Canis lupus familiaris: one gene and its partner. The protein of the gene in region 1 purifies or fractionates together with the protein of each later gene. This does not show direct contact. Links are inferred from orthologs where the notes say so. Each region holds a gene or a part of one and is shown on either strand. Other genes may lie near its edges.

The links. The genes of interacting proteins can lie anywhere in the genome.
Region 2: the proteins of GBA2 (region 1) and ILVBL purify together in Homo sapiens (co-immunoprecipitation; 3 studies listed by BioGRID and IntAct, counting the BioPlex papers as one, with this or other methods). This does not show direct contact. The link is inferred for Canis lupus familiaris from reciprocal best matches to the Homo sapiens genes GBA2 and HACL2.

What each region holds. Positions count from the first base shown.
Region 1 is NC_049232.1:52,566,080-52,569,588, reverse strand, and holds part of GBA2 (non-lysosomal glucosylceramidase), read left to right. Parts: intron 1-1,904; coding exon 1,905-1,996; intron 1,997-2,295; coding exon 2,296-2,411; intron 2,412-3,509. UniProt on the Homo sapiens protein: Non-lysosomal glucosylceramidase that catalyzes the hydrolysis of glucosylceramides/GlcCers (such as beta-D-glucosyl-(1<->1')-N-acylsphing-4-enine) to free glucose and ceramides (such as N-acylsphing-4-enine).
Region 2 is NC_049241.1:47,426,065-47,430,013, forward strand, and holds the start of ILVBL (2-hydroxyacyl-CoA lyase 2), read left to right. Parts: upstream 1-1,146; 5' UTR 1,147-1,537; intron 1,538-1,836; 5' UTR 1,837-1,846; coding exon 1,847-1,981; intron 1,982-2,059; exon of another isoform or gene 2,060-2,544; coding exon of another isoform or gene 2,545-2,679; intron 2,680-3,154; coding exon 3,155-3,356; intron 3,357-3,478; coding exon 3,479-3,606; intron 3,607-3,695; coding exon 3,696-3,834; intron 3,835-3,924; coding exon 3,925-3,949. UniProt on the Homo sapiens protein: Endoplasmic reticulum 2-OH acyl-CoA lyase involved in the cleavage (C1 removal) reaction in the fatty acid alpha-oxydation in a thiamine pyrophosphate (TPP)-dependent manner. Involved in the phytosphingosine degradation pathway.

The sequences.
Region 1 (3,509 bases):
ACAAGGAACAATTCTGAATGATAATTCTCCAATTGGGACTGGCATTATGGAGAAGGCCATATAGATCAGGAATGGCCAGCTGCTAAATTAAGGGAATGAGAGGTGACCCTAAGAGGATGCCAGACTGGGGGTACTCTAACCAGGAGTTGCAGCAAGCCAGAGTTCTCTTGGCCTCACTGTGGGAAGAACTCAATTTTGATTGCTCTCCCTTCCAGCTAGAGTCTATTCAATAAGTATTTACTGAGTGCTTGTTCTGTGCTTTGTTCTGCCTATCTCCATATCTTGCATTTCTCCCTCACTGCCCTAATCCCCGCTATACCCTCCCTCCTATCCTCAATTCTTTCTGGCCTCTAGTTTCAAAGTCCAGTTTCCTCTAAGCTGGCAGAGTGGACCTTCTGCCTTTTCATCATCTCATCCTTTGCCTTCCCTCCTCCTCCCCCTGCTCCTAGAATGTACCTTTCCTATTCTATAATCACATTTCCCCTCCCCTTGCTCCCCTTCATGTTCATCTGTCTAGTGCTTCATTGTTTGTGCACTCCCTGGTAAATTCAGCAAATATTTACTAAATACACACCATGTGCCCTGCCCTGTGCTTGAAGCTATGGGTAACCAACTAGTCTTTGTCAATATCCCTTTCCCCAAGGAATTTGAAAGTATGTCAGATTCCTGTGAGGAACACTGAAATAACAAGACAGTGTCTGATTGGGAGTTCAGATAGTGTATGTACAAGGAACGATCATACCCAAGACAGATACTCCACCTTATGGCTTTCCTATCTATTATGTTATTTACTCTTTCAACCATTCCATGAAGTAGGTAGGACAGGAGGTACCTCATTTTGTAGACAAGGAAACTGAGGCTCAGAGGAGTTACCCCAAATACATGGTTACAAGTGGTATGCTTGAACAATGGGTATACAATGGCTGGGCAGGGAGGACAGTGAAATTGGGAGTCTGGTGGGGCAAGGGTTGCTTATCGAGGATCCATTCTGAATGGGGATTTGTAGGACTTAAGATTAGAAGTTAGGCTGAAACAGATGTGTCAGAGCCTTGAATTCCAACCAGAATCATTTGTCTATTAGACACAAAGCTGTGACAAGACCAGGAAAAATTAGGGATTTTTTAGATTTTTACTAGACTATTATGAGAGAGTAGACTCAGAAAGCTTAGTTTAAATGCTGAACTTTTAAAAAAGATTTAAAAGGATATGCCCCTGGGACACCTGCGTGGCTCAGCGGTTTCGGGCCGGGGTGTGATCTTGGAGTCCGGGGATCAAGTCCCACATCCTCCCTGCATGGAGCCTGCTTCTTCCTCTGCCTGTCTCTCTCTCTCTCTCTCTCTCTCATGAATAAATAAATTAAAAAAAAAAAAAAAGGATATGCCCCAAAATATAAACACTGGTTGTCTATGGGTGGGATTTTTTTCCTTCCATCTGGTACATTCTATAGATTTTCACCTTCCACAGTTAGGAAGAAAAATAATCATTAAAAAAAAAAATTATTCCAGAGGACTGTGCCTATGGAGGGTGGGGGGTAGTCGGGAAACCAAAACTGGCTCTTTCAGCACATCAGACAAAAACTCCTAGGCTAACCTTAAGTAGTGGCAGTGCAGTTAGGGGTGAGGCAAGGTCAGAAAGCTCCTGAGGGGAAAAAAAAAAAAAAAAAAGAAAGCTCCTGAGAATAGAGAGGAGAAACAAAGATGGTCTCATGCTGTGAGCTGGGAAGAGGAGGGGACCCTGAACCCTAGAGAAGTAGAGAGGAGGAGAGATTTGGAGGGGAAGGGAATGGGTCCACTGCAGACATTTAATGGGAAGTTACAACTAGGTACCTGGAGAAAGGCAGGTGATGGCAGCCTGGGAGGTATGGCCCACTGCCCCTTCCACTCACACTGCCTCTTGCTCCTCAGGTACTTGCAGTGGTGGTACCGGAAAACCCAGGTAGAGAAGAAGACACCTTTCATCGACCTCATCAATTGTGTACCTCTGAGACAGATCTATGGTGAGCCTCACCCCAGCTCTGCTCTGCACAGAAAGGGCCCAGACTCTGGGTCTGCTGCAGAGCTAAGCAAAGAGGCTTCTAGCTTACCCACAGTGAACTGCCCTATCCCCTAGGGTTTTCTTTCCCTAGCTTTACTGAGCTATAATTGATACCAAACATTGTGTAAGTTTAAAGTGTATAATGTGTTGAACTGCTATCCCTGCTTTTTTTGAGAAACTCATCTTTATAGTCTAGAAAGTGAATAATGGGCTTCTTTTCCTCTCCCGATGCCCCACTAACCATCCTGATTCTACCTCTAGGTTGTCCTTTGGGTGGCATCGGGGGAGGCACTATCACCCGAGGCTGGAGAGGCCAATTCTGTCGTTGGCAGCTTAATCCTGGAATGTACCAGCACCGGACAGTCATCGCTGACCAGGTGAGAACCAGTAGGTGGGGGACAGGTCCAGAACAGTACCCCAGCCCAGGAAGAGCCTCTTGGCCCATGTAGGATGTAGAAGTTAGATATGCTCCTGTGCACATGATTCATTCCTGTAAGTATATTTAAGATGCTTTCCAGGTGCCCACCCTTGTGCCAGGATGTACTAGGAATGAGATACTCCAAGAGCACACGTTTCTCAAAAGGATAAACAGCCCCAACACCCCTGTGCCCTCCATTTCTCTACTAAATGCCTCCTATGTCCTTCACTCCCCAGCTCCACTAGCTTTGCCAGTACCCAGCCACAGAGGATGCAGGAAATTTCTAGATCATATAACCTGGTTAAAAGAACATGTAGTAAGACAGAAGGGAAAAAAAGCCCAAAGTCTCTAAATACATGGGGGGGGAAGGTGTGTAGAGTACCCACTGTTCACCCTGATTTGCCACCCTTAGCTAGAGATCAGCTCCTCTGCTGGTGACCACTCCTCTGGAGGTATCCCTGGCTGAGGGCCTGGGAAGCCCTTCCTCTCCCCAGCATAGATCTCTAGCCTTTTCTGAAGCTTTACTTCTTTTCCCTTGTCCCTTCATCACACATGGGCCCTCGATTGCCAGAGTCACATGGTCTACCTTTCATCATCTCTCTAGCGACCTCACAGGTGGAGGTGTCAGCCACGTTTCCATTTCCTGTCTGAGAGATGCCTCCAGCTTTCAGCTCATCTTCAAAGAAAAAATGACTAGCAGACCTTGAGTCCAATTAATGACAATGCCCTTCCTAGTTCAGGTTTACCAGCCCTGCCCAGTGCCCCAAGCTTCCTCTCTGGCTCATCCATTAGGTATCCTGAGGGGAAGTGCCTTCCAGAATTGTGACTCTAGAGTTAAAGTAATTATTGCATGCTTAACATGTGCTAGAGATTGTGCTATGCATTTTTGTGTGATATTTAAGATTTAAAGACAGTTCCTACAAGGTAAGTACCATTATTATGCCCATTTTATAGATGAGGAAACTGAGATCCAACAAGATCTAGTAACATACTCAAGGTCATGTGGTTGGCAAATGGAAGCATTGGGATTCAGAACCAGCTCTCAATGTGGTTAAAA
Region 2 (3,949 bases), on another chromosome or scaffold:
GTAAGCATTAAATGTGTTAATGTGAAGAGGGTAGGGAACAACCCCTCCTATGTAATAACTGCTTAATGAAAAGTAATGATCACTATTTCGTTTTTGGCTTTGGGAATTTAATTGGACCTAGAAGGCCTTTCTAGGAAGTTTGCATTTTATCCTGTTAATCATAGGCAAGGAGAGTCGGGTTGAGCTGTTAGATGAGAGACAGAAAGGAGAGGGACCTGTTTGGAGACTGTTGGCATACTCCTGAATAGCTCTCATAGGGTGGCGGGGAAGAGTCTATATGGAGTGGGTTCAAGAGGGAATAGCCGGGGGCTCACGGAGACAGCAAACAGATAACTCATTGGAGGAATTTTGCTAAAAAGAGTTGCAAACGTACAGTAATAGGTGGAAAATGTAGGGCAAACGGAGTTTTCTTTTCTTCTCTTAAATGGGTGAGCTGAAAAGTAAAATGATTCAACAGAAGATAAAAATTACCAACTGGGGGGAATCCTCAGAGGGAGATCTCAGAAGTCCACAAGGGATGCGAGCCACTGGTAAAATGGCACGATTCGTTGGGTCAGGTAGCAAGGCGCTCAGTTCCAAAATTACTTCCCCTTCGCTGATGGGGAGATCATTTTCCAGAGGCCGGACGGCTGGACCCAGAGCCCTCCGGCTTCTGCACGTCCACACCTCCGCACTCGGAATAGAGAAACCCCAAGGGTCGGCAAAGAAGGCGGGGCCAACGGCAGAGGCGGGCCTACGAGCGCGGGGCGGGGCTGGGGGCGGGGCCTCGGGAGGGCGAGGGGCGGGGCTTGTCGGGGACGTGGTCCCGGATGGCGGGTTCCGGGGAGCGGCCTGCGGCATGCGCGTCCGGCGGACGTTCAGGGGCGTTCGGCACCGCTGGTGTGAAAGCGGGCGGGCTCGGAAGGCCCGAAAACCACAGGCTGAAACATGAGGCCAGTGGAAGGCCGCGGAAAGTCGGCTCCGGAGCGGCTTGGCTCCTGCAGAACGCCGAGGGGCGTGGCGTCTCATCGAGAAACGCGTTACCTTGCGGGGCGAGCCCATGAGAGGCGGGGGCGGGGCCTGCGCGAGGCGGCCCGCAGGGATAGGGCGCTGGCGGTTGTCCCGGCCCGGTTACGGCTCTGCGCACGCGCGTCGGGCCGGACCAAAGGGCGCAGCGGATCCGAGTGAAAGCGCCACCGCCAGCTCCGGGCCCAGCCCCCCCCCCGCGCCGCGCGCCCGGGTCATGTGACACGAAGGGCGCCGAATGCCTCGAGGCAGCGCCATTTCCCGAACGTGAAGGCCAAAGTGCCCCGAGGGCGGGAGACGCCTTCTGATGCGATCTGACCTCGACCCGCGCAGCCCGCGGTGCGGGGTCGAGCTCAGGCGCTCGCAGTGCGCGGGGGTCTGGCTTTAGGAGAGGGGCACGCACGCTACCTTGGGGGCGTGGCCTGCGCCTTCTGGGTGACCTACACGCGGGGTGGGTGGGCTCACCACTGGGGCTGAGATTCGGGTCCAGGTGTGACAGAGGCGGGGCTTCCCGCCAACCACTGAGAAGCAGGTAAGTGTGTAAAGCTATCTGGAGGCTGTTCAGGCCGCACTCGACCTGTGGTGGGCTAGTTTCAGTGGCGGCGGTGATGTAAGGGAGGGGGAGGGGCTGGCGCCGCAGGAGGTGTGGCCCGGCCCGAGGGGCGTGGCCTGGCTCTCGAGGGGGCGTGGCCTCGTGAGGCGTAAGGGGCTTGGCTGCGCGGAAAGTGGGACGAAGAGGCGTGGCCCGGCATCCGTGCGGGAGGGGGTTACCTTCTTCCGGAAGAGAGATCTACGTCCAGCTGCTCGCTGGCGCTGTCCTTTCTCTTTCAGGTGCCGCCTCATGGAGACCCTTGCGGCCGCCGCCCCTGCCCGGAGCTTCTTCCCCTCCTTCCTGCTCTTGGCCTGCGGGACGCTGGTGGCCGCCCTGCTGGGCGCCGCGCACTGGCTGGGGCTCTTCTATCAGTTGGTGCACAAGGTGCGGGGGCACAGATCAGCGGCGGGCTGGGGGCAGCCAAAGAAAGAACGAGCTCCCGGCCCTCCCTCTAACTCACATATTTTGCAGGCGGAGCAAGTGAGGCCCGACTCCTTAATGTAGGGGACTCGGTCGGGAAATTCTATCCACCTCCCTGTCCTCTGTTTGCCAGGCTGCAGGCAAGGCCCTCCTGGACTTTGCCTCTAGAAAGAGATAACTGCAAGTTGCTGCCCCGGCGCTCATCGCCCTTCCCCCTCCTTCCCCAGCGGCCGGGAGCCCTTTTCACAGAGCACTGCTCCCTAAATGTGGTGTGGTCACAGTGGGCTGAAGGCAGGCCCTGGAGGGGGCCTGTGATAGTTGTCATGTACCTCTCAACACCTCCCTGAGTAGTTGCTTTTGTTTCTCTCTTCTTTTCCCGAGAGAGCTTGGAGGTAACTTGCCATAGGTGATGGTTTTTGGAAAGAGTTGACAGACCTCATTCTGCACTGCTTGGCTCCTCCCTCAGGAATCTATCTACCCCTGCCCCCCAACTCCCTCCTCAGTTCCTCTTGTCTTCACCAGGAGCAATGGGAGCAAGGCTACTACTAATCTTGAGGATTTGTGGAGGTTTAAGGCAGAGGCCTCTAGTGTGCAGGGCTGTGAGAAGGCCGGGTCTGGGAAGCCTCAGCATGATCTGTGCCAGCAGGCTGCTCTCGTGCCAGGTACTTGGTAGCTGGCCTGCCTGCCTAGTGAGTGGGAGGAAGTCTAGCAGGCTAGAATCCACAGTCAGGGTGCCAGGCCCTGGAGGGGAGGCAGTTCTGGTATCCTGCCAGATGGCCCCTGGTCAAACTACTTAGGGTTCTCTGGATCCACTTTCCCTCTCCTCTCCCTGATTGCCCCACCGCCCCTGAGACAGGCAGTGTAACAAGGGGGTGCTTGAGAGCATTGGTTCTAAGCGACTTGGACTATTGCTTGGGCAAGTCTTGGTCTTCCTAGCTGCAAAACGATATAATCTCCAGAGAATCTGATGGGATGACATGTCCTGCTCTGGGCCTGGCCTATAGTATGATAGATGCCTAACCAAGATCAAAGTTTCTCTTACTGACTCTGTCCTGTCCTCCTTCCTTGGGGGAGCAAGATTGTCCTCTCCCTACCTGCCCTGGTGCTTGATAATCTTGCTCTTCCCTGTGGGTGCAGGTGGACAAGGCAAGCATCCAGCATGGTGGGGAGAATGTGGCAGCTGTCCTAAGGGCCCATGGTGTGCGGTTTCTCTTCACACTGGTCGGTGGGCACATTTCCCCGCTGTTGGTGGCCTGTGAGAAGATAGGCATCCGTGTGGTGGACACCCGCCATGAAGTCACAGCCGTCTTTGCCGCTGATGCTGTGGCCCGCCTGACCGGTGAGGGCAGAGCAGAGAGGGCTGAGGGCTGGGGAGAATGGGATAGGAGGTGTTTGAGGGGCAGAATTTTTTCAGATGTGGCCAGGAGGGTGGGCACGGCTGTGATGGATTCTGTGTTTTAGGGACGGTGGGCGTAGCAGCAGTGACAGCAGGCCCTGGTCTCACCAACACAGTGACTGCAGTGAAGAATGCCCAGATAGCTCAGTCCCCGGTCCTGCTTCTGGGTGGGGCCGCCAGCACGCTGCTGCAGGTGCCCTGTCCTTGGGTGGGTGGCGGGGGTCCCTGGGAGCCTCAGAGAGCTCAATGTGTTAACTCCCTGGACTCCTCTGTTTCCACCAGAACCGGGGTGCACTCCAGGCCATTGATCAGATGTCCCTGTTTAGACCACTGTGCAAGTTTTGTGCTTCTGTGCGGAGGGTGCGGGACATTGTGCCCACTCTGAGGCTTGCAATGGCTGCTGCCCAGTCAGGCACCCCAGGTAGGTGAGGGGTGCTGGGCAGTGGTCAGGCCCTATGGCCTGGGCCTAGAGAGGCATGGCCGGCTCAGTAGCCTCCCTGCCCCTCTTCAGGCCCAGTGTTTGTGGAGCTGCCCAT